Saccharomyces cerevisiae S288C: one gene and its partners. The gene in region 3 interacts genetically with the main gene of each other region. Each region holds a gene or a part of one and is shown on either strand. Other genes may lie near its edges. The genes, in order: OPI1, RGT1, MGA2 and TSC3.

Region 1 (4,252 bases), on a different chromosome or scaffold from region 3:
TCAGGATGCGCTTATTCCATAACTGGGGTCTATATCTGGATTCTTGTTTTCTTGTTGCTGGCGAAACAAAACTGGAACCTTTATAGTCGATAAAGAATTGTAAAGGGAACTGGTGATGACCGCCATCTTTCCATTTCACCACTAGAGATTTTCCGTCCTCAGAAATTTGAATGTCCTGAGGAGCGGTCAATTTCTCGTTATGATACAGTTCTCCCGTGGTCACCAGCTTGGCACTATGGGAGGCATCTCTAAGAAAAACGTTGTTAAAGCAAACGGAAACCGGCTTGCTGGACTCCTCCATGGAGAACGTAATTGTCGTAGAATCTCTATTGAAGTATGTTTTGATGATATGTCCCCGATTCGCAGCCGCAGCTGTCGCCGCAGATGTGTATGTCCTTGGTGTAGTGGTCAGTCTTGCAAGGATTCGAGATCCTCTGCATAAATTTGATCTTAGCATCTTGTGTTGGTAATTGGTTTCTAATAATTATTTTTTCTTTTTAACTTGGAATATGTTCCTGGCCAGTTGTGAAGAGTTACCCCTGATATTTGGATCTAGAAGGGCTTCTCCTTATATAGATAGCACTTTTCCTCGAGGATCAACCCCGGAAATGTATTCCCGACCCCCTTACGGCTGCGCAAAGGTCCTTACTGAGCCATTCAAAGGTAAAGAGGGTCCGATAATAATGGTAGTTCAAAAGGGGAGAAGCGGGGCTGGTACAATATCACGATTATGATTATGATTATGATTATGATTATGATTATGGATATTATATAAACTATATTATTCCGTATAATATTATTACTGGTGGTAATGCATGAAAGACCTCAATCTGTCTCGGTTAGTCCTTGCTATCCACGTTGTCCTGAGAGGGCTTTACGTAATTGCCATCCTTCTGCTGTTGCTGCCTGTACTGTTGCTGCTGTTGCAAGAAACGCTCCCTGATCATTTCTTTTACCTCCTGTTTCTGCTTCACCCATTCTTCAGCCTTGCCCAACGTGGAGTCGACTACGCCCATGACATTTCTCACCATTTCCAGGGATTCTTTGGCGAGAATGAGTACTTTCCCATTCGCAGTTACGGAGGAGGACGGCGAGGCTGAGTCGTCGCCATCCTTGTTCCTTTTTTGCTGTTGCTGTTGCAGGAGTTGCTGCTGCAAAAGTTGCTGCTGCTGCTGCTGTTGCTGTTGCTGTTGCTGTTGCTCCACTTTTTGTTCTTCACAGTTGGCATAATGAAACGAAGCATGATGCGGCAGTGATGTACTGTGGACGCTGTCGAACCAATTTGTGGGTAAGTTTAGAAGACTTTCCCGAACCTGAGATCTTGCGGGCTCCGGCAGCGAATTTGCTGTGAACTTCGATATCAGCGAGTAGACTTTCTTGACTGTGCCGACCACCTCCATTTTCACCACAATAGACTGCTCGCTGGCGTTGACCTGCTCTGAGGCATCAAAAAACTCCTCATCGTCGTCGTCTTCGTCTGACGATGTCTCGTCCTCGCCAGCTCCAGTGGTCGTCCTAGCATTTCCATCTTGCTTGTGCAAAGGATGCACCTGCTCCTTTTCAACAAGGTCCTGTAAACACGAGATTTTATCGGAAAGCTGCTTATTGGCCAGCTTTAAAAGATGCAAGCACGTTACAAGCCTCTTCTTAGACTCGATGGACATGTTCAGCTTGTACTCTTTCAAGTTGTCCTTCCCCTTGGCAATCGCCCGCGACAGCTTCTGTCTCTTGTTGGTGAAGAACTCATCGTCGTTGTAGTCGTAATCATCATGCTCGTCATCGTCATCGTCTAGCAGCCTCCCTATTGATTTCAGTGGCCTCTTGTTGGTGTTTATTTCATCGTAGAATGTCACTACGTTACTGATAATTTTGTTACTTACGCGATCCAAAATGTTTAGCGGCGTCGTAGACGACTCACTTGCCGGCATTTTGTCAGCTTGTGAGACGTCCTCTGAAGGCTGCGACTTCTGTCTGCATGATTGTTTCAACACCCCAAGTACTTCAGCCGCTTCTACCTCTTCCTCTGATAATCCTAAACGTTGATTTTCAGACATCAATGACTAGTATCTTCGTTAAAAACACTGTCCTGATACACACGCTTTAATCAGCACTGTAAACAAAATGCCACGTTCTGGCCTGATATGCTTTCTTGGCTAAGTGCAGATCGCTGTCTTGCTCCAATCCTCTTATTAATCCCTCTCATTGAGGTGGAAAAAAAAAAAATAAGAACGCCCGATTTTACCCGGTTGCATATGAAGATTATAAGGTGCCATCTATATACTAAAACGAACGTACCATTTGTCTATCTATGAGATGTCTGCGTAAGCGTCAAACAATATATGCGTACTCTTCGTCGCTGACGGTCTTGTATCTGACCCAGGGGAAAGACTGGTACTGCAATTGTGGCTCTTCGACCTTCAAGTACTCAACTTTCAGGCCACTGCATGTACAGTACGGAATCTCGAAATCAATGTTGACCAACTTATCTCGAGGAGTAACGTGGGAAGTTTGTTGGTCGTGCACTTGTCTATATAGTTCTTCCAGCCTGGGTCCCGTGCGCAAGGGCGGCGGATTCATTGAGGTTTTCATTTCTTCTTGCAGGCGGTCATATTCTTCCTGGTTGAAGAGGGGGAACTCTGCCACCATGGATGCACACGTATTTGGATCATCTTCGTCGCTGTTGTACTGTGAGCTCTTGTTTGTGCTATGTTCTCGGTGCCCCTTCATGGTTTGTATCTCCCAGAGGAGAAAATCGTCACTCAAGTTAAACACGACCTTGCCGATGTTTGCCTTGAATCTAATTTGCTTGCTGAGGTCTATTTTATATTCCTGGAAGACTTTTGTCAGGGGAATTCTCACGTTTAGCTTCGACGTTGAGTTGGTGGGTTTAAAATTTGTTTGAATTTTGGTTACAATTTGGATTTTAAACTTCTTCAGTTTAGGTTTGATTTCAAAATCTTTCAACCTCACCATCGGCGCATCCTTTACATGTCTCTTCAACTCGTATTGGCAAAGAACAAATTCGCCATCCGGCGGTATAAATTCGATTTCTCTTGCATCTGTGGCGGCCTGCAAACCAGCATCATCGTCACTATTCTTTTCTTCATCTTTTTCAATAGTGTTTATGGAATCTAGTGAAACACACTGATGAAAGCTGGAATTCGACATGAACTGGGGGTCCCTGTTCAGTATCTTGTTTATGGATATTTTCAGTTTGGGCATCCCTGATAAATAGCATCTGCACACAATCTCTCCATGTATCAGATTTTTCCTAATCACTCCTTTTTCAAAATCCATCAAGTACTGAACACGTTCAATAACATCAAGAAAGAACTCGTTTTTGGCGTAATGTATCCCCTTTGTTCTCCATGATATGGGCATTATAATCGTCTTCGCAATATCGCCATTGATGTATAAATCATTACCGTCATTGGGGAGCTCGTCATTAGCGGCTTCTTTACCGGTATCATTCTTGTTCCTTAGTGTCTCCTTGACAGTTTCCACCACGTTTATGCCCCTATTTTCTTTATTGTTTACCATTATACTTTTTAATTTACTTTTGCCCACGCTTTTCCCTTTAGTGCCCTTTTTCTTCTTCCTTTTCTTCTTCTTATCCTTCCTCTTATTAGTATTGCTGTACTCGCTATCGCTATCGCTACCGCTACTACTACTGCTCTCTTCACCAGGGCTCCACTCCTCATTGTCTACTGTAACTCTTGGTACGTTGACCTTCACACGAATGTAGTCCTTGATGATACTTGGATCCGTCACTTGTACGATACCAAAGTCTATACATTCATCAATCAACTCCAGGACAAGTAAGATGTTGTCCAGTATGACATTCTTAGTTAAGACCTCGATTTCAAAATATTTTTGTAAAAGATGATAAAATTGTTCCAAAAAGGCTAGTATAGTCATTAAGTCTATATTTGGTTTGTCTGTGGTATGTATCACTGAAACGAAATGCAGAAAGTCTCTCTTCAAATGTATAAAGAACCAATCGTTTTGGGAGAGAATTGGAGGCGACCCGTCATGATAACATTGTTTGAAACTTGAAAGAACCGACGATAGATTCGGTAGTGCTCTAATATTCTTCGATACCAATGGCTCCAGATTTTCATCCAGGATAAAAAGGCTTGACGACATGCCTTTCCTTCCTGATTTCCTCTTTACTATTTTTGGGTCCCTTTATTTGCTTTTTGTCCAAGGCATTCTCAATTTTCCAATCTGGAATTTAAGCCCTTCCAGTTAT
Region 2 (6,453 bases), on a different chromosome or scaffold from region 3:
CCAAACAAAAGAGGAAGCGCGTCAGGCTGTTCGAGAAGGGGCGGGGGAAGGGGATCAGGTTACAAGACGCTGTACAGGGATCTGTGTGAGAACAAACCGACACCAGAACTTTGGACTTTGCAAGCGCCGGAATTGAATCTGTAGCAATGGCAATGGCAATAGTGATGGCACCAGGTGTAACAGCAAGCCGGCGGTAGCAACGTGCGTAATAAGGACTTCTGCCCCTGAAAAAGTATGCCAAAAGTAGGAGAAAGAAAGACCCCTTTAGCTGTGAAAGAAGAAGGTGCTCCCCGCCCATTGTCTGCATGCGCCCCTGAGCTTGGCGACTCTCGAATACCGTGGAAGATGGTGGAGCACCAGAGTAAAAGGCCGTGCGCACTCTGACAAGGCAGTATTGTTACAGGTTAAAACAGCTAGTGTGTATATGTGTAAGTAAGTATTATTTATGTGTTTTACTTAAATTGGTCATTCATTGCATGGTAGTTCTTTACGCGAATTTCTGCCTGAGGAGAAGGGAGAACCTGACCTACAGGAGAAGGGAGCATAGTTACCTGTCAATACCAGCCTAACTCGGAATCGTCCAACAGCTTCCAGCCGATACTAACGAAATTTTCCAGGGCAACGTTCTCAAGCCTGGGTTCCTCTGCGGCTACTGGCGCCGTTGTCGGTTGTGTACCAGAAGTACGGCGTTCATCAAGCAATGTCTTCATGACTGATGACTCGCGGAGGCCTTGGCCCGACTTTGGCCACATGACGTCGTTTCTGGTCGTGGACGAAAGTCCTCCTGTCAGGGACATTATGGGCTTATTAAGCTCGTGCTCGAAGATCTTGAATGGCTTGATCATTGTCAGCACGCTGGTGATTTGAACTACTTCATTCATCGAGTTTGACAGCTTCATGACCAGGTCCTGCGACTTCTTGGTGTCCTGAGTATTCTGCGTTGTAGTTGCCGTCATCATAATGCTAATGAGTGATGTAGGCATCTGCTTGACCAGTTCAGTGATGTTGTAGACCTCGTGCAGGATAGCAATAGCAAAGGGGGAAATTATCCCCCGGCAAAGGTCTGAAAGGATAGTGCCAGTGTCTTGTTTCAGGCCTAGTAATTTCTTGTAAAAATCTGGATTCCCCTCCGATGGAGGTGCAGCGCTAAGGTTCCCAGCGACTGGAGACGAGCCCATAGCAGATGGGCCCTCTTGCACTGTCGGATTATTAGCGGGTGGGTTCGGTGGTCTATAATTAAAATCAATACTGTTCGTAGGATTCAGTCTTAATATCAACGTCAATACTTGCAAAATTATTGATATCAATGAGCACAGAGAGTCTGCTATTTTCGAACTCAAATCCAATGTCAAATCTGAATAGACTCCTGCTTCTGAATCGTATAATGATAATAAGCAATTGATGAAATTGTGTTTGCCAATTAATAGCTTGCAAAATAACTGTGCTACGGATAGAGGTTGAGTTTCCACATATTCCGATAAGAGTGAAGACGAGTTCGTAATATCGAACCCAGGCTTCCTATTGCCGTTCATTGATATTCTATTCCTGGTAAGCTCACTCATCAATTCACCCAATTTCAAGCTTTGCAAGACGCTTTTCAGTCTCAATTGGCTTTGTTCCAGGCACCATTTTGAGCCCAAATCATTAGAAAAAAATCTTTCTGTAGAACCTTGGATGGAAATGTTTAATAGCTTGGGACCACCGAATGCACAGCTTTGTAAAGAATCAAACACTGAAAGCAAAACGTATAATCTTTTAAACAACACTGAATAGTGACTAATGTTTTCGTCCATGGAATTTGGTGAATTGGATGGATTCATATGCCCAGCACTTTCAGATCCAATTTCAAATTCGGACGTTTTTGTATTCCCATTACCAGTGCTGACCTCTTCATCAACTGGAGGCTTCACATCATTTATATCCGGCTCCGGAAATAATAGAAGTTTGTATAATTTAAATTCGTTAAAAATTGTCACCGACATTCCAAGTACAAATGAGTTATCGTATCCAACAAATGCCAAAATGTAATTTAAAAGAATAAAAGTAGATAAATAAATGACTTTGATCTTCGGCGAAATTTGGTCGTTGTTTTCTCTGAATTTGGGATGAATATCCACGATTTTTTGGAAACATTCATTGAGGGCGGCAATAAAAACGCTTTGCACTTCCAAAGTATCCTGTACTTCATTATGTGAATCACGTCTTGTTTTTTCAGCATCATCCCTTGCCGTGGCTGTAGTGAACCCAGCTTTGTTGTTGTCATTACTTGGCGACAAAGCCACGCCAACAATATTATCGAAAAACTTGCCACCTGGCTTTTGTTTCAGAGCAACACGAACTAACAATTCCAATGAATTTCTAAACCACAAAATAACATATGAATTGACTTCGTGTATATTGGAAATTGGCTGTGTGTTAACTAACAATAAGTCACTGGTCAAGGTCGTTTTGTTTAAAGGTATGATCGGAAATCCTACATGTATGAACTCATAGTAGGTGTCTATTAGATCTACATCGGATATCTGTCCATACGCGATAGTTGATGAAGTGGTCATTGGGTGAGCAGAATCTTTCGATGTTATAGATATAGATGAATCTCTCTTTGGTTTTGTCTTCTTAGATACGTAACTTTTTCTGCGTTTTTTTGTACTTCTCTGTGGCGTTGATCCAGGGCTGGATGCTTCCAAAGCCGCTGGTGTAGTTACAGATTCTTGGGAATGTTGAGATGTATCCTTAGAAGAACCGCTATTATTGCTGCCATTATTGTTGTTAATTTCACCATTATTATTCTCATTACCATTCAGCCTGTCCGTGGATAATGTTACTGATACGGGGGCTGATTGTCGCCTTTTATTTCCATCCAACTCAGATGAAAATTGCGGTACCTGCTGTCCTTGAGGTCTTTGTGTTTGCTGTGCAACATTTACGGGGTTTGTAGATGTGCTAGTAAACATGGCAGGTGCACTGGGAGACATAGCCTCGCTGGCGACTGATCCTTGTCTAGAATGAAAACCATTAGCAGCGAACTGGCCAAAAGATGATATCGATGGGTTGTACGGTTGCTGCTGGGAAAATTGAGAATACGAGTATAGGTTCTGTCCTTGTTGCAACTTTTGTTGGTGTGCTTGTGGCTGCGATTGTTGCTGAGGTGGGGGAAGCTGAGGCTGGCCACCTAGTAAAAGAGAATTTGAAGTATTTCGTAGCAAAGAAGGTATGGAACTTGATCTTCTTGTCTGTTCCCCATTATGATCATCAGTAGGAGCTAGTAAACCAGAAGTTCTTATAAAGGACCAATAACCACCACTACCAGAGGCACTGCCTGAGCCGGTGACACTTCCGTTTGCATTTCCAGAATCATTAGTATGTTTATTCGTTATGGGAGACTGTTGAACGGTGTTATAAGACAACTGCTCGTTGGGATTTAATGTTCTTACCGATATATCACTTTGCAAAGAATCGATAGATCCTTTTCTTTGGTGTTGAAACTCATGGTAGGGCACTTTCCAAAACTGCTGTTGGCCAATATTACCCGCGGGCATAGTTGATTGTATCGCTGGATTTTGGAAACTAGGAGGAATGCCACCAGCCTGGGGAATGTACTGTGTCAGTGGGGGCAATAAAACTGAATTAGATCTCGAAGGGGTACTTGGAACTGTGTTACTGTTTATACCGTTGTCGCCGCTATTGCCCGTATTATTATTCAGGGTATTGTTACTATTATCAAACGTATTATACGACCTTGAGTTATTGTGGTCTTGTATTTCGTTAGTCCTTGGATGGCTGGTGCTCCTCGTATAGCCTTTCGAGGGTCCCCTTTTCAAAGGAACCCTATCAAAACTACAACGGTCTCCATTCCTTTGGCAGTTTGAGCAGACCCCCTTTTCATCTTTGTAGTCACATTTAATCTTCTTTTTACGACACTGATCGCAGGCCCGGGAGGCCTTTGTTCTTTTCTTTATTGCGTGACTTGCTGCTGCTGCGGAGTCCATATCGTCGGGACTATTGGATGTACCACCGTTCTTGGTGGAGTCACTGGAGTTAGTCGAAACAGTGTTCAGCTCGTTCATAATTTGAAATATATTGGAGTTTGAGAGAAGAGTACAGCTTCTTGACAAATGTGAGAATCGAAGAAGCGTGTTATTATTGCACCAATGAAAATTGCGGGAACGGTTCTGCACAATATAGTACAAGGGAGAGGCGATTTCCAACGAAGTCTATGGTGAAAGAGCAGAATATGTTGGATGGACAATACTCCAGTCTCAAAACTCCAAGCACGGTTCCTAACTGATGTGTTCTTATTTTGACTTTTTTTATTTTTTGAATTTTTACTAGTTGCTACTATTTTTTTTTCCTGTTTTTCCTTAAAAGGTCCCTTCCCATAATCGTCTTGCTTAGTTAGCTACATGAAAAAAAAGGAAAAAACTAAAGGAAAATGCACAAAGCAGCGACATATTTTATGAATCCAATACCTGCCATTTCAAGAAGCTCGGATTATTGGTGAGGTGACGTAGCTTTTGTTTGATGTACTGTTGATTATTCGTCTCTGGTGCTCATAAGCCACGTCACAGAAAACGATAAACGATGTTAGCGCACATGCTACATGACTTGCCAATCGTGGTAAAGCTTCTGATGAAAGAACCAACTTGCGGAAGCGTGCCCATAAAATGGTCGTGCGGCTTAACGAGCAATCACACCGAATAAAGTGATCCCGTAAAATGATATTCTACTCGGATGATCCGTTCCCTAGGAAGCGTAAGACAAGTAACTACAAATGTTGTCGCATGTATATTCTATTACTCAGAGCGTTTGACAAAAAAATCTTCTCCCTTTCATTAAAAACGAATCGAAGAGCTGGGTTTATAGCATTGTCACTAAGGACGTGGTCTCATCATAAACAAATAGAATATACATGTTATGTTACATAGGAAAGACCGAAAAAGCCAGAGAAAGCTAATAAGGTTAGCACTGATGCAGCGCGCAACCTTACGTTATCTGGCTTCGTTGTTCATCCTTGAACAAAGGGAATTCCTCACTTCTGGTCTTCCTGCGTCTCTTCTCATAAACAAGTACACATGAAAAGTCTATGGACCAATTTTCTCTTCCATTTTATAGTCGATGAACAGAAACTTTTCGCTTGTTTCGGTTTGATATAAATCATCTTATCACCGAAAAAAAAAAAACTCCAGCGAGCGGCTAAATAAATACAAAACGAAAAAGTTAGGTCTAGAGTATAGCATAGCTTTGGTGACTACAGTTATAAACAGGTAAAAGCACGCACAAATAAATGAAAAGAAACGTGCAACGCATTTATTTATTTATTTATTTATATTCATATTTATATTCATATTCATATTCACATCGCATTGAACAGAAGTGCATATGGTTCATAATTTCTTTCTTTTCGCTTGTAAACATTTCGTGACTGCCCTCGAAGAAACTATTTGTCTCATCACCTAATCAAATCTGCTGGAGGTAGCGTTATTTTGTTGGAGAGGGAGACACTGGCCCGTGGCCTTGGCTATGGTTATTTACATTATCGTGTCCTTCTTCATCATCAGTAAAATTCAAATTGAGGTCATCCTCGTCTATGCCACGCTCACCAGTGATGATACTTGCGTCATCTTGATCGTCAAACGATTGCAAATCGCCCAAGTCAAAGTCCGCGACATTTTCTGGGTCTGTGGGTAGTTGTTGGGATGCGGCTAGCATGTATGAAGTATCTGTTGGTCTCCATAAGAACGCGATGGTAACGAAAACAATGAAATACACTAACGTAGGCCAGAAATCAGTAACGAAGAACCTTGACCTCCAGTTCTTCTCAATCATATCAATAGTGTTCATGCCAACGTAAATAAATGACGAAACTATACTACCAGCTAGTACACTCAAAAAGGACGCATAAATGATGTATAGTAGCTTCTTGTACATGTTCAATTTTACGATCTGCCTTTGCTCTTTCAAATAGATAACTGTTTTTGTCATGGATCTAATAATCATGTAGTAAAATATGATTAATGCAAGCGCCATAGGAATCAAGGTGATCAAGATTAGTGGAGATGGTGCCTCCATGTCGGTCAAATAACTTTGGATCAAAAATCCAATGCAAATTGCATAAGTTAACGCACCATACATTTGGCAACGCCTCATCAACGTTTTATTCAACTTAGGGTACACGATACCGTAGCCCAAAGCGATAATCAATAATAGGAAAAATGAAAATGTAACTTTACCAGCCGTCAATATCGACAAGAACACCATATAAACTTTTATTCCCGCAGTATCACCTTTTTCATTTTTCAAATCATAGTAAGCCCATACAAATATGGTTTCTGCGGTTAAAAATACAAAAAAGGCCAGCAAATACTTTTGTAATGGTAACAATTCATGCTTGTGCTTCCAGAAGGCGAAGGAATATAACGCCATCGCCACAACGTATGCGACCGCCAAAAGACC
Region 3 (6,487 bases):
TGTGGTTCCGGTGCCATCGATCTGTTGCACAAAGTTGGTATTCCAGATGCTAACATATTAAAATGGGATATCAAAGAAACTTCCCGTGGTGGTCCCTTTGACGAAATTCCACAAGCTGATATTTTTATCAATTGTATATATCTATCGAAGCCAATTGCTCCTTTCACTAACATGGAGAAACTGAATAATCCTAACAGAAGACTAAGGACCGTGGTGGACGTATCAGCAGACACTACCAACCCTCACAACCCCATCCCAATATACACTGTGGCTACTGTGTTTAACAAACCTACCGTTCTGGTACCTACCACTGCCGGGCCTAAATTATCTGTCATCTCTATTGATCACTTGCCTTCTTTGCTGCCAAGAGAAGCTTCAGAATTTTTCTCTCATGATCTCTTACCATCTTTAGAGCTCCTACCTCAAAGAAAAACTGCTCCTGTCTGGGTTAGAGCCAAGAAATTGTTCGATAGACATTGCGCTCGTGTTAAAAGATCTTCAAGATTGTAGTTTACATTTAAAGTATATACATTATCGTTACGCTGACATTTACAAGTTTAATTTTTTTTTGACTTTTTTTAAATGACTTTCTCTTCTTTTAAGTGTACTGTCTTTTCATTATACACACATATATATATATATATACGTAAAAAAGCAGACTAACTGACAATTAAATCGTTCAACATTCTTGTTGTTTGCAGGTTTGATAATTTTGACCTGAATGCAGTTTTCATCCTTTCATTTCCCAGCAAGAACTTTGCTAATGCAATTCTCAAGTACTCTGAGATTAATTCGCTTATATGATTGATGGAACTATCTTGGTTGCCAAATTTGTACATGATGAACCATGTCAAAAGTAGTAGTGTTAAGGGTATCCAGAAAAATATTAACATTTTATCATTTCGGAAGTTTTGTTTGTTTTGGAAGAATCTGTTAAACTGTTTTTTCAAAAATTCTTCCTCTTCCTCATAATCCTCTTCCTCCGAATTTTCAGAGTTTTCAATATTAGATGCTGACTGCTCCACAATACTGTCTTGATTTGTGGTTTTCAATTTATCATCTTTACCCCAAGACAACGGGAACAGATCCTCATATTTTGGTAAGTCATCATTAATTCGATGTAAAACTCTATTCCAGAGAGATGTACTACCATTATCCTCTTCGGGTTCGTTGGCGCTAGATCCAATATCAAGGAGTTCGCTTTGTTCCTCCCTGCATGCAACACCTGGTTTTTCTACTTCGTCAGTGACGAACAGATCTTCATCCCCGTCTTCTTCGAAATCACTTTGGTCGTACTCAGAGTAACTTGAATTCTCAAATAGTTGCAAGGTTGGATGCTGAATCTCCATAGAAGTGGGATTTATCATGCTTTGGCTTTCGAATAAGTTCTCATTCAAAGATTCATTGTCTAGCAGGCTTGAATTGAAACTGGATTGTGAATATTTCCTGCTAATAGAATAATTACTGTCTGTTTCTACACTATCGGTAAACTTCGTACCGTTTTGGAATTCTTCAAACAATGACAATACTTCGCTGATATAAGTGTCATTATGAACAAACTTATGGTTGTCTCTGTTATCTTGTTTTTTGTCTATTTCCTTTGAATGAATGTGGTTTGCTATGAATACTTCTCTTGCAGTTAATCCGTTGTGTGACCTCAGTGAATAATTTACTTTACAATTTAAAAGCATCTTAATAATTTTAGGGTCACCACTTATGCAAGCAAAATGTAATGGAGTTAGCCCAAAGGAATCAATATCGTTAACACGAGCACCCTTTTTAATCAATGTATACACAAGGCTTGAGTAATTTTTCAAACAGGCAAGATGTAATAAAGTTCTCCCTAATGAATCACATATGGAAATATTGGAATTTATGTTCAATGATTTTATAACTTTTTGTATCAAGACTTCATCGGAGTAAAGAACACTTGTGTTCAGATTCATACTGTGTTGGTTTGGAGAGGGACCTGTGCTTTTTGAACAGCTGTTGCCATTTGTACCGCTATCAGGAGAATCATTGCCAACAATCCTCTTCGCGATATTTCTTGCATCTTCTAACTTACCATTCATTTTTAATCCCACAATTTGCAAAGCCAATTCAATCAGTTGCCTATCAGTATCATCAACATAGGTAAATATGGCCTTTTTATTGTCATTGATCTCAATTTCTTGGGGAAGGTCATCGTTATTATTTTCATTATTCGTATCAGTAATAGAGACGAAAACTTGACCCGCGTAGGCAGCGGGAGGGAGATAAGTGACGATCGTGGTCTCACTCCAGCATTGCGTAGAAAGGGCAAGATTAGAGCCGAACTTTACAGAAAGACCATCTTTGAAGTTACAACCCAGTAATGTAACTTCGATACCACCATTGATTGGGCCTTGTGAAGGTATAACGCGATTAATTGATGGCAAATTATTGTTGTTGTTTTTCATTGAGAAATCTTGCATTGAATGTAAAGCTGGATTCATCGTATTTGTTGCACTGATTGAATTTGAAAAGGAATGCTTGAATAGGGGTTTACCAATGTCATTTTCCAAATTATTGCGTGCTCTTTTCCGTTGGTTCAATTGACTCTGTTGTTCAATATTTGTCAAAGAGATAGTACGGACGGGATTGTCATTATCGCGATGATGATAGTTAAATGATTCTGAGCCTTCTTCGCTCATAGATGTTGGTGATGGAATATGCTGATTGGGCAGAGAAAGGTTCAGTGATAAGTTATTGTTCTGAAGCAAATCTGTCTGTTGAGAGATGGAATATGGGAATGGTACGTTTTTGTCTTTCAGTGGAATATTATTCATTTGACTGTCATTATCATATGGGTTGTGTTGATAAGTATATTGAAATGGCATATTTTCGTCTTTGCTCAATTGGTTGTTATCCGTTGAATAATATTCTGTGGTAGATTCTTCTTCCGTTAGCTGCCTTCTGGACGAGGTAGTAGTGTTATTAAACTTGGTGGTATCCATATTTGCTGGTTTTCTATCCGTGATCATAATAGGTGTTGTCGTAAACTTACCCAACAGTCTATTTTGCCAATCTGTTATAGTGAATAATATGACAAAGCCATTATTTGCCTTATGGTGCCTGCAATAACAAACTAGCCTGGTAGTTAATTCAAACTCCTTAACATTATCGAAAGTTTTCATTATGGGGAAAACCTGTTTGTTATTGAACACGACTAACCTTCTATTAATATTATTACACCAGAGTAAATTGTCTGCAATACCTGATTTCCTTCTAGCGGCTCTTCTTTGTTCTCGCTTAACACACTTGGTACAAACATTTGTCGTTCTGTTGCTGACCGCACATAGAACAAACGCATTGATGTACAGAAGATTTTTCTTGAAGTCTTCTGAAAAATCCTCGATATTTTTTTTTAAATAAAACTTTTCTCTTGAAATGGAATCGCTAGGCAAGTAAAGCATGCTTTGGTTTAGTGGTGTTTCAGACGTAATTTTCACTTTCAGTTTCAGTTGATTTTCCACTCTAGATACTTGTGGCAAACCTGAGACCTCTACATCCAAAGGTAGCTGCGCTGCGTTCACTTTAAGGTAATCTAAAGGATTTATGTAAACAGATTGAATCGTCTCCTTTCTTCCAAATACAATCTCGTCATGAGCAGGGTTGCCTATATTTTTTTCATTAAAAACCTTATTTTCATGCTCGTCCTCTTCTTCCTCCTTCAAGGCTCTGTTACTTTCCATTTCCTCCTCCAGTGGAGTGGACACGTTTTGGTTGACATGAGTATTGTTACCGATACCTTCGAAAGACAACAGGTTGGGCGAATCACCCTCATCTGTCTTGATAAAATTTTGGAAATTAGCACCCTCATCAATATTAATATGCGCCATGCTATCATCCTGGTACATGGGAGACCCGTTCAGGAGGAAATCGTCCAAGAGCTGTGATTCCATTACGCTATTCGCGTGCAATTGAGATATATGAGGGTCGCTTCCAGGTGTTTCCGTTAAGAACTCACTGTTCTGCTGCATAACGAAATGTTCTGTTCGCCAAAATGACCTTCAATAAGTGCCTTTAAATGCACAATAAGGGGGGGAAGCAGGATCTAGTCTTAACGACCCCAAGAACGACTGTTGATCAAGCGCCGCTGTCCTTTTAAAAGGCTTTCGGCGGCTGTATTTTCTGGTTTAGAGCTCACCCATTTGAAAATGTTGAGTTTTTTGTCATGATCCACGATATAAAAAGAAATACGACATTTCTAGGGTAACATCAGAATGCCCTTGCTTTTATTGTTAGGGTTATTTTCAAAAGTAGAATTTTGGAAATAAGTCCTAGCCTTTTTGTAACACTAACCCTGAGACAAAGTGCCAGATAAGATAAGATGGATTGGCAAATAAATGGGGAAAGATAAGCGAGGTAAGACTGATAAGAAGCATATGCGGTCTATTCATGTGCATTCGCATATATAAGTCAGTAACTGTCATCCAATCGCTCTTGATGCTTATCTTGTAGGGCAAAAAATCTTTGAAGCAAAGATATGGTGACCGTGGTGGCGGAGACATTGACGAAAGAGTCCTTCGAGGAGTATGGGACGATAATTTCGCCAGATGAAGAGATTTCAAGGATGCAAAACCTTGAAAAAGGTGCAAACCAGGGAACAGCGATCAAATTGCTTCAAGTAAGCCAGGTAGAGAATAAATCTACCAGTAAAGTTCCCAATTGGAACCTATTCCGTTGCTTTCCACAGCCGCACCTGAATAGAGTATTCACTCAAGGCTCCAATCAGGCGATTTCTCATTCTATCAAAGTCCTCGAAAAGCATCCGTGTAGTACGCAGACGTTTGTGCCTATGGGGAGAACGTCAGCGGAAGTAGCATACTTGGTAGTAGTCGCTAAAGAAATTGGAAATAAGCCAGACTTGTCTACGTTGAGGGCTTTTACATGTTTGGGTAATCAGGCCGTTACCTATGGCTTAGGTACCTGGCATGCGCCCATGATAGTACTTGGCAAGGAAGAACATTTGGATTTTTCAGTCTTAATCTACGAAAGTCTGGACCCTGACAGGCCCGAGAAGGACTGTGTGGAAGAACACTACAGCGATGGCGACGTTTGTATTATCATCTAATTCTGCGACTGTGGGCGAAGTAAATATGTAAATGTTCATGTATTAGTAATTTCATAGGTTTACGATTATCGACATAAAATCTCCGCTGAAAGTTGCGGTGCGATAGAATACCGCGGATTTTGGAAAATTGCGTTTGCTTTTCTTATCACATAAATTGAATTTCATAAGTTTTGGCTTATCTTGGATAAGGTACATCGTGAAAGTATCACAAAGATTGGATAGTTTCGTCAATTGGTGAAGCAATAAGTATAAAATGGGGACATTTACGCATGTAGTCTTAATTCTTCACTTTCTGTGCAGTTGATATCACTTAGAGTATGTGTCATAGGCACGGTAAAGAGCACTGAACAATGGTGAAGATAAGCTTGGACAACACTGCTCTATACGCAGACATCGACACGACTCCTCAATTTGAACCTTCCAAAACTACTGTAGCTGATATTTTAACAAAAGATGCCTTAGAGTTCATTGTTTTGCTGCATAGAACTTTCAATTCAACACGGAAACAGCTTTTAGCCAACAGAAGCAATTTACAATCAAAGTTAGACTCTGGTGAATACCGATTTGATTTCTTGCCGGAAACCGAACAAATCAGGAACGATCCTACATGGCAAGGTGCTATCCCAGCCCCTGGTTTGATCAACAGATCCAGCGAGATTACTGGGCCACCATTGAGAAATATGTTAGTCAACGCTTTGAATGCTGAAGTAACGACATATATGACTGATTTCGAGGACTCTTCATCTCCAACTTGGGAGAACATGATTTACGGACAAGTTAATCTTTATGATGCCATTAGAAATCAAATCGATTTCAAGACACCAAGAAAGGAGTACAGGTTGAAGGATGACATTTCAAGACTGCCCACTTTAATTGTCAGACCTCGTGGCTGGCACATGGTGGAGAAGCACCTTTACATAGATGATGAACCGATTAGTGCTTCCATCTTCGATTTTGGTTTATATTTTTACCATAACGCTAAAGAGTTAGTTAAAATTGGTAAAGGACCTTATTTTTACTTACCAAAGATGGAGCACCATATGGAGGTAAAACTATGGAATGACATATTCTGTGTTGCACAAGATTTTATTGGAATGCCCCGCGGTACCATTAGGGCCACTGTTCTGATTGAAACTTTGCCAGCGGCCTTCCAAATGGAGGAGATTATCTATCAAATAAGAGAACATTCAAGCGGTTTGAACTGTGGTCGTTGGGACTACATATTTTCGACCATTAAAAAACTGAGAAACTTGCCTGAACACGTTTTGCCAAATAGGGATCTAGTGACTATGACTTCACCTTTTATGGATGCTTATGTGAAAAGATTGATCAATACATGTCACCGTAGAGGGGTCCATGCGATGGGTGGTATGGCTGCCCAAATCCCCATAA
Region 4 (3,212 bases), on a different chromosome or scaffold from region 3:
GAATGTTGCATACCATTCTACGAATGAATTGAGCAATGACGCAAGTAACTTTTTCCTGGAAGAACAACAGCAAGGCCAGAGATATCAGCAAGCTCAAAATCAAACAGGTACACAAGGGAATACCTTTCCAGATGAATCTCAGTATCAATCTAGAGTTGAACAACAGCAGCAACAACAGGACCAACCCAAAGGACCTGCTAATTATAGCCAAAGAAATTTCTACACTGGGAGGGATCGGTCCAATAAACCTATGCAGTTGGGTGGAACTATTGCTGGAGATAGTGGTAATAGAAGAGTCAACTTTCAGAATATTTCTCAAAATTACGCCACGAACTCCCAGTCAGGATATCTCCCAAGTCAAAATTCCCCAGCAATTCCAATGGTGAGACCTGTTATTTCCATGAATCAGCAGCAAGCGCAACAGATACAAGCCCAGCAATTGCAGGCACAACAGATGCAGGCAAAGCAACAGATGCAAGCCAAGCAGCAGATGCAAGTTCAGCAACAACTGCAAGTCCAACAGCAAATGCAAATTCAAAATGCAAATAATAATGGTACTTACGTCTCTGATAGAACAAATCATACCACAGAAGATATGAGAAATGCTCAGGGGGGTGAACCTCCAATTCTTGCAGGAAATTCTGCAAATGAACCAATGCACTCATCCTCTAAAAATGAAGCTCTCTTAATTGAACTATCTCCATTAAAAGAAGATGCAGGAAAGCAATCTTTCCAAGATACAAATGAGCCTCAAACTGGCGGTATCGAAGATGCCGGCGGTTCAGGAACTATCAAAGGCTCGAACAATAATCGAAATGGCGTTTTAAATTTAAGTTTGAATGAGATGGACTTATCAAGAGATGATACTGGTGCTGCTGTCTCCTCCTTTTCATCGTCTTCATCGTCTGCATCAATTCAACAAGCTAAGCTTTCTGGACGCAAAGGTTCCAGTAAGAGGAACAATTATTCAACAGACGAATTGGGAGATAGTATGGTCTCCAGCGAAAGCATTGATATTGATTTGGATGATGCAAGGAGAGGAAAAACAGCTGAAAGAAGACCACTCCATAATGAAAGAGGTCATAAAGACCAGGCAAGATCAAGTGATGCTAGTAAGTCTAATCAATTCAAAAGCAAGGACTTCAGCAGCGTATCAACAAGGCAACCGCGGCAGTCATTGGATCTGAATTTCCAGGAAGTAAATCTGTCTTCACCAACGTTAACTCAAGAGCATAGAAATAAAAACGACTCGCCAGCACCAAATTCACATCACTCGTATAGAGTTTCACCTCATGCTTCCACCGCAATAACTGAGAATAAGCGCCACAGTACTGGTCACGAACTGTCAACCCGGTCAAATGGCAAGCATGAAACACACAGGACTGGTTCCAAGCAAAGGCACGATTTGGAAAGATACCGGCATTCGAAGGATAAGGATAGCAATAGCAGCATTACTATTAGCACCTCAACTCCATCAGAGATGAGAAAATCCTTCGCTAGGGCCCGTCAATCGCTTGATTTGGAAAGGGTCCGTCGTGAAGCGATGGCAAGTAGTGCATCCAGTAGTGGTGGCAGTAACGGGAAAAGGAGATCTTTTTTCTCAGTCTTTAGAAGCGAGAAATGATTCGATAAATAGAGCACATATAAAATCATATACATACATTGTTACATATAGAGGCGCAGACAATCCGTATATCTTCCTCAAAAACTAAATTGATAGAACAATAGTAACTCAAATCATATGCATTAAGCATATCGTGCGAGATGACGTTTACTCCTGACGCGCTTAACGAGAAGCGGTTAAGTGAAGAGTAATAGTGCTCGCAATTTGACAGAAATGACACCATTTTAAAAGTACTAGAGATAAAGAGTGTAGAAACCGGAAGAACAAAGGTGGAACATATCATAAGGGGAAGAAATGACACAACATAAAAGCTCGATGGTGTACATACCCACCACTAAGGAAGCTAAAAGACGTAATGGGAAATCAGAAGGCATACTAAATACTATTGAAGAAGTGGTGGAAAAGCTTTATTGGACCTACTACATACATTTACCCTTTTATTTAATGGCCTCTTTTGATTCATTCTTCCTCCATGTTTTTTTTCTCACAATTTTCAGTTTGAGTTTCTTCGGTATACTAAAGTATTGCTTCCTTTGAATGATTATTTATATCCTTATTCGGTTAATAATAGTATAAGCTGGAGGCAAGGGGACAGAAAATTTAGGAGGATATCATGGAGGATAGAGTTACATAAATATACACACAATACATAAACTAATAATTGCTTGTGGCTATAGGATATAATTTATAACAGTTGATGTGCCTTTGAAAAATGACATCGTTTGGAATGAGATCAAATTTATCACTTGATGAAATCACAGTGAAAAGCGACTTGCAATGGCAGTAGAGATGACAGGTAAATTCATCCAAAAAGAGAGCCCGAAGTCTTTCTCACATTCAGAAATGGCAGAAGCAGTACTAGAAAACGTTAACGTTCCTGCAGTCGTTTCAAAAGATGAGTGTATTTATTGCTTTGAATCCCCTTATAATGAACCATTGGCCCTCAATGCATCACCTAAACATTCATTGAATATATGCTTAAACTGTTTCCAAGCTACGTGCAACAGACATGTTCCACTCCATATCCGAGTCACAGAATATGCTTGCGATACCATACATTCCAATTATTTAACTATTGCTAAAGTGGAGAAACCTAAGCAAGAAAATGTAGAAGAAAATAATAACAACAAAAAAATAAAGCTACAGGTAATTGAGACGTCAGAAGACGACACCCACAACACTATTTGGAGTTTACAAAGGTTCAATGGTGAAAATGTTCCCAGGACCGTACTTTCGAAGTCGACAGACTCTGACATTTCTTCTACGGCCTTGGAGAAGATTGAAAAGATATTAAAGGCGAAGTCACAAGACTTCGAGGATAAGAAGAACTCCTGGGTGTTAGAAATCAGCACCTGTCCACATACAGAAAACTTTCAAATTCCATCTAAGCCCGAAAATACTGTGAATTTAAACCAATGCTCTTCCTGTGATTTGACTCAAAATCTCTGGTTATGCCTACATTGTGGTAATATCGGATGTGGCAGGGAACAAATCGGGATTGATGGTCACTCGCATGCTTTGGATCATTATCGGAGTAATAATAATCACCCATTAGCTATCAAATTAGGGTCTTTAAGCTCTTCAACCT

Evidence for each region.
Region 1: mutations in MGA2 (region 3) and OPI1 together harm fitness more than expected from each alone (negative genetic interaction), as found in Saccharomyces cerevisiae (2 studies listed by BioGRID).
Region 2: of MGA2 (region 3) and RGT1, changing one enhances a phenotype caused by changing the other (phenotypic enhancement), as found in Saccharomyces cerevisiae (2 studies listed by BioGRID, with this or other methods).
Region 4: mutations in MGA2 (region 3) and TSC3 together harm fitness less than expected from each alone (positive genetic interaction), as found in Saccharomyces cerevisiae (2 studies listed by BioGRID).

What each region holds. Positions count from the first base shown.
Region 1 is NC_001140.6:65,403-69,654, forward strand, and holds OPI1 (transcriptional regulator OPI1), read right to left. Parts: upstream 2,055-4,252; coding exon 840-2,054; downstream 1-839. Other genes in the region: AIM17 (Aim17p), read right to left, coding at 1-457; APM2 (Apm2p), read right to left, coding at 2,329-4,146. UniProt on the Saccharomyces cerevisiae protein: Negative regulator of the transcriptional complex INO2-INO4 in response to phospholipid precursor availability.
Region 2 is NC_001143.9:363,219-369,671, reverse strand, and holds RGT1 (Rgt1p), read right to left. Parts: upstream 4,068-6,453; coding exon 555-4,067; downstream 1-554. Other genes in the region: AIM26 (Aim26p), read right to left, coding at 1-307; PTM1 (Ptm1p), read right to left, coding at 5,479-6,453. UniProt on the Saccharomyces cerevisiae protein: Glucose-responsive transcription factor that regulates expression of several glucose transporter (HXT) genes in response to glucose.
Region 3 is NC_001141.2:413,638-420,124, reverse strand, and holds MGA2 (Mga2p), read right to left. Parts: upstream 4,002-6,487; coding exon 660-4,001; downstream 1-659. Other genes in the region: LYS1 (saccharopine dehydrogenase (NAD+, L-lysine-forming)), read left to right, coding at 1-510; DAL3 (ureidoglycolate hydrolase), read left to right, coding at 4,508-5,095; malate synthase DAL7, read left to right, coding at 5,446-6,487.
Region 4 is NC_001134.8:355,273-358,484, reverse strand, and holds TSC3 (Tsc3p), read left to right. Parts: upstream 1-1,918; coding exon 1,919-2,161; downstream 2,162-3,212. Other genes in the region: serine/threonine protein kinase AKL1, read left to right, coding at 1-1,624; ubiquitin-specific protease UBP14, read left to right, coding at 2,468-3,212. UniProt on the Saccharomyces cerevisiae protein: Stimulates the activity of serine palmitoyltransferase (SPT), and thus plays a role in the biosynthesis of sphingolipids.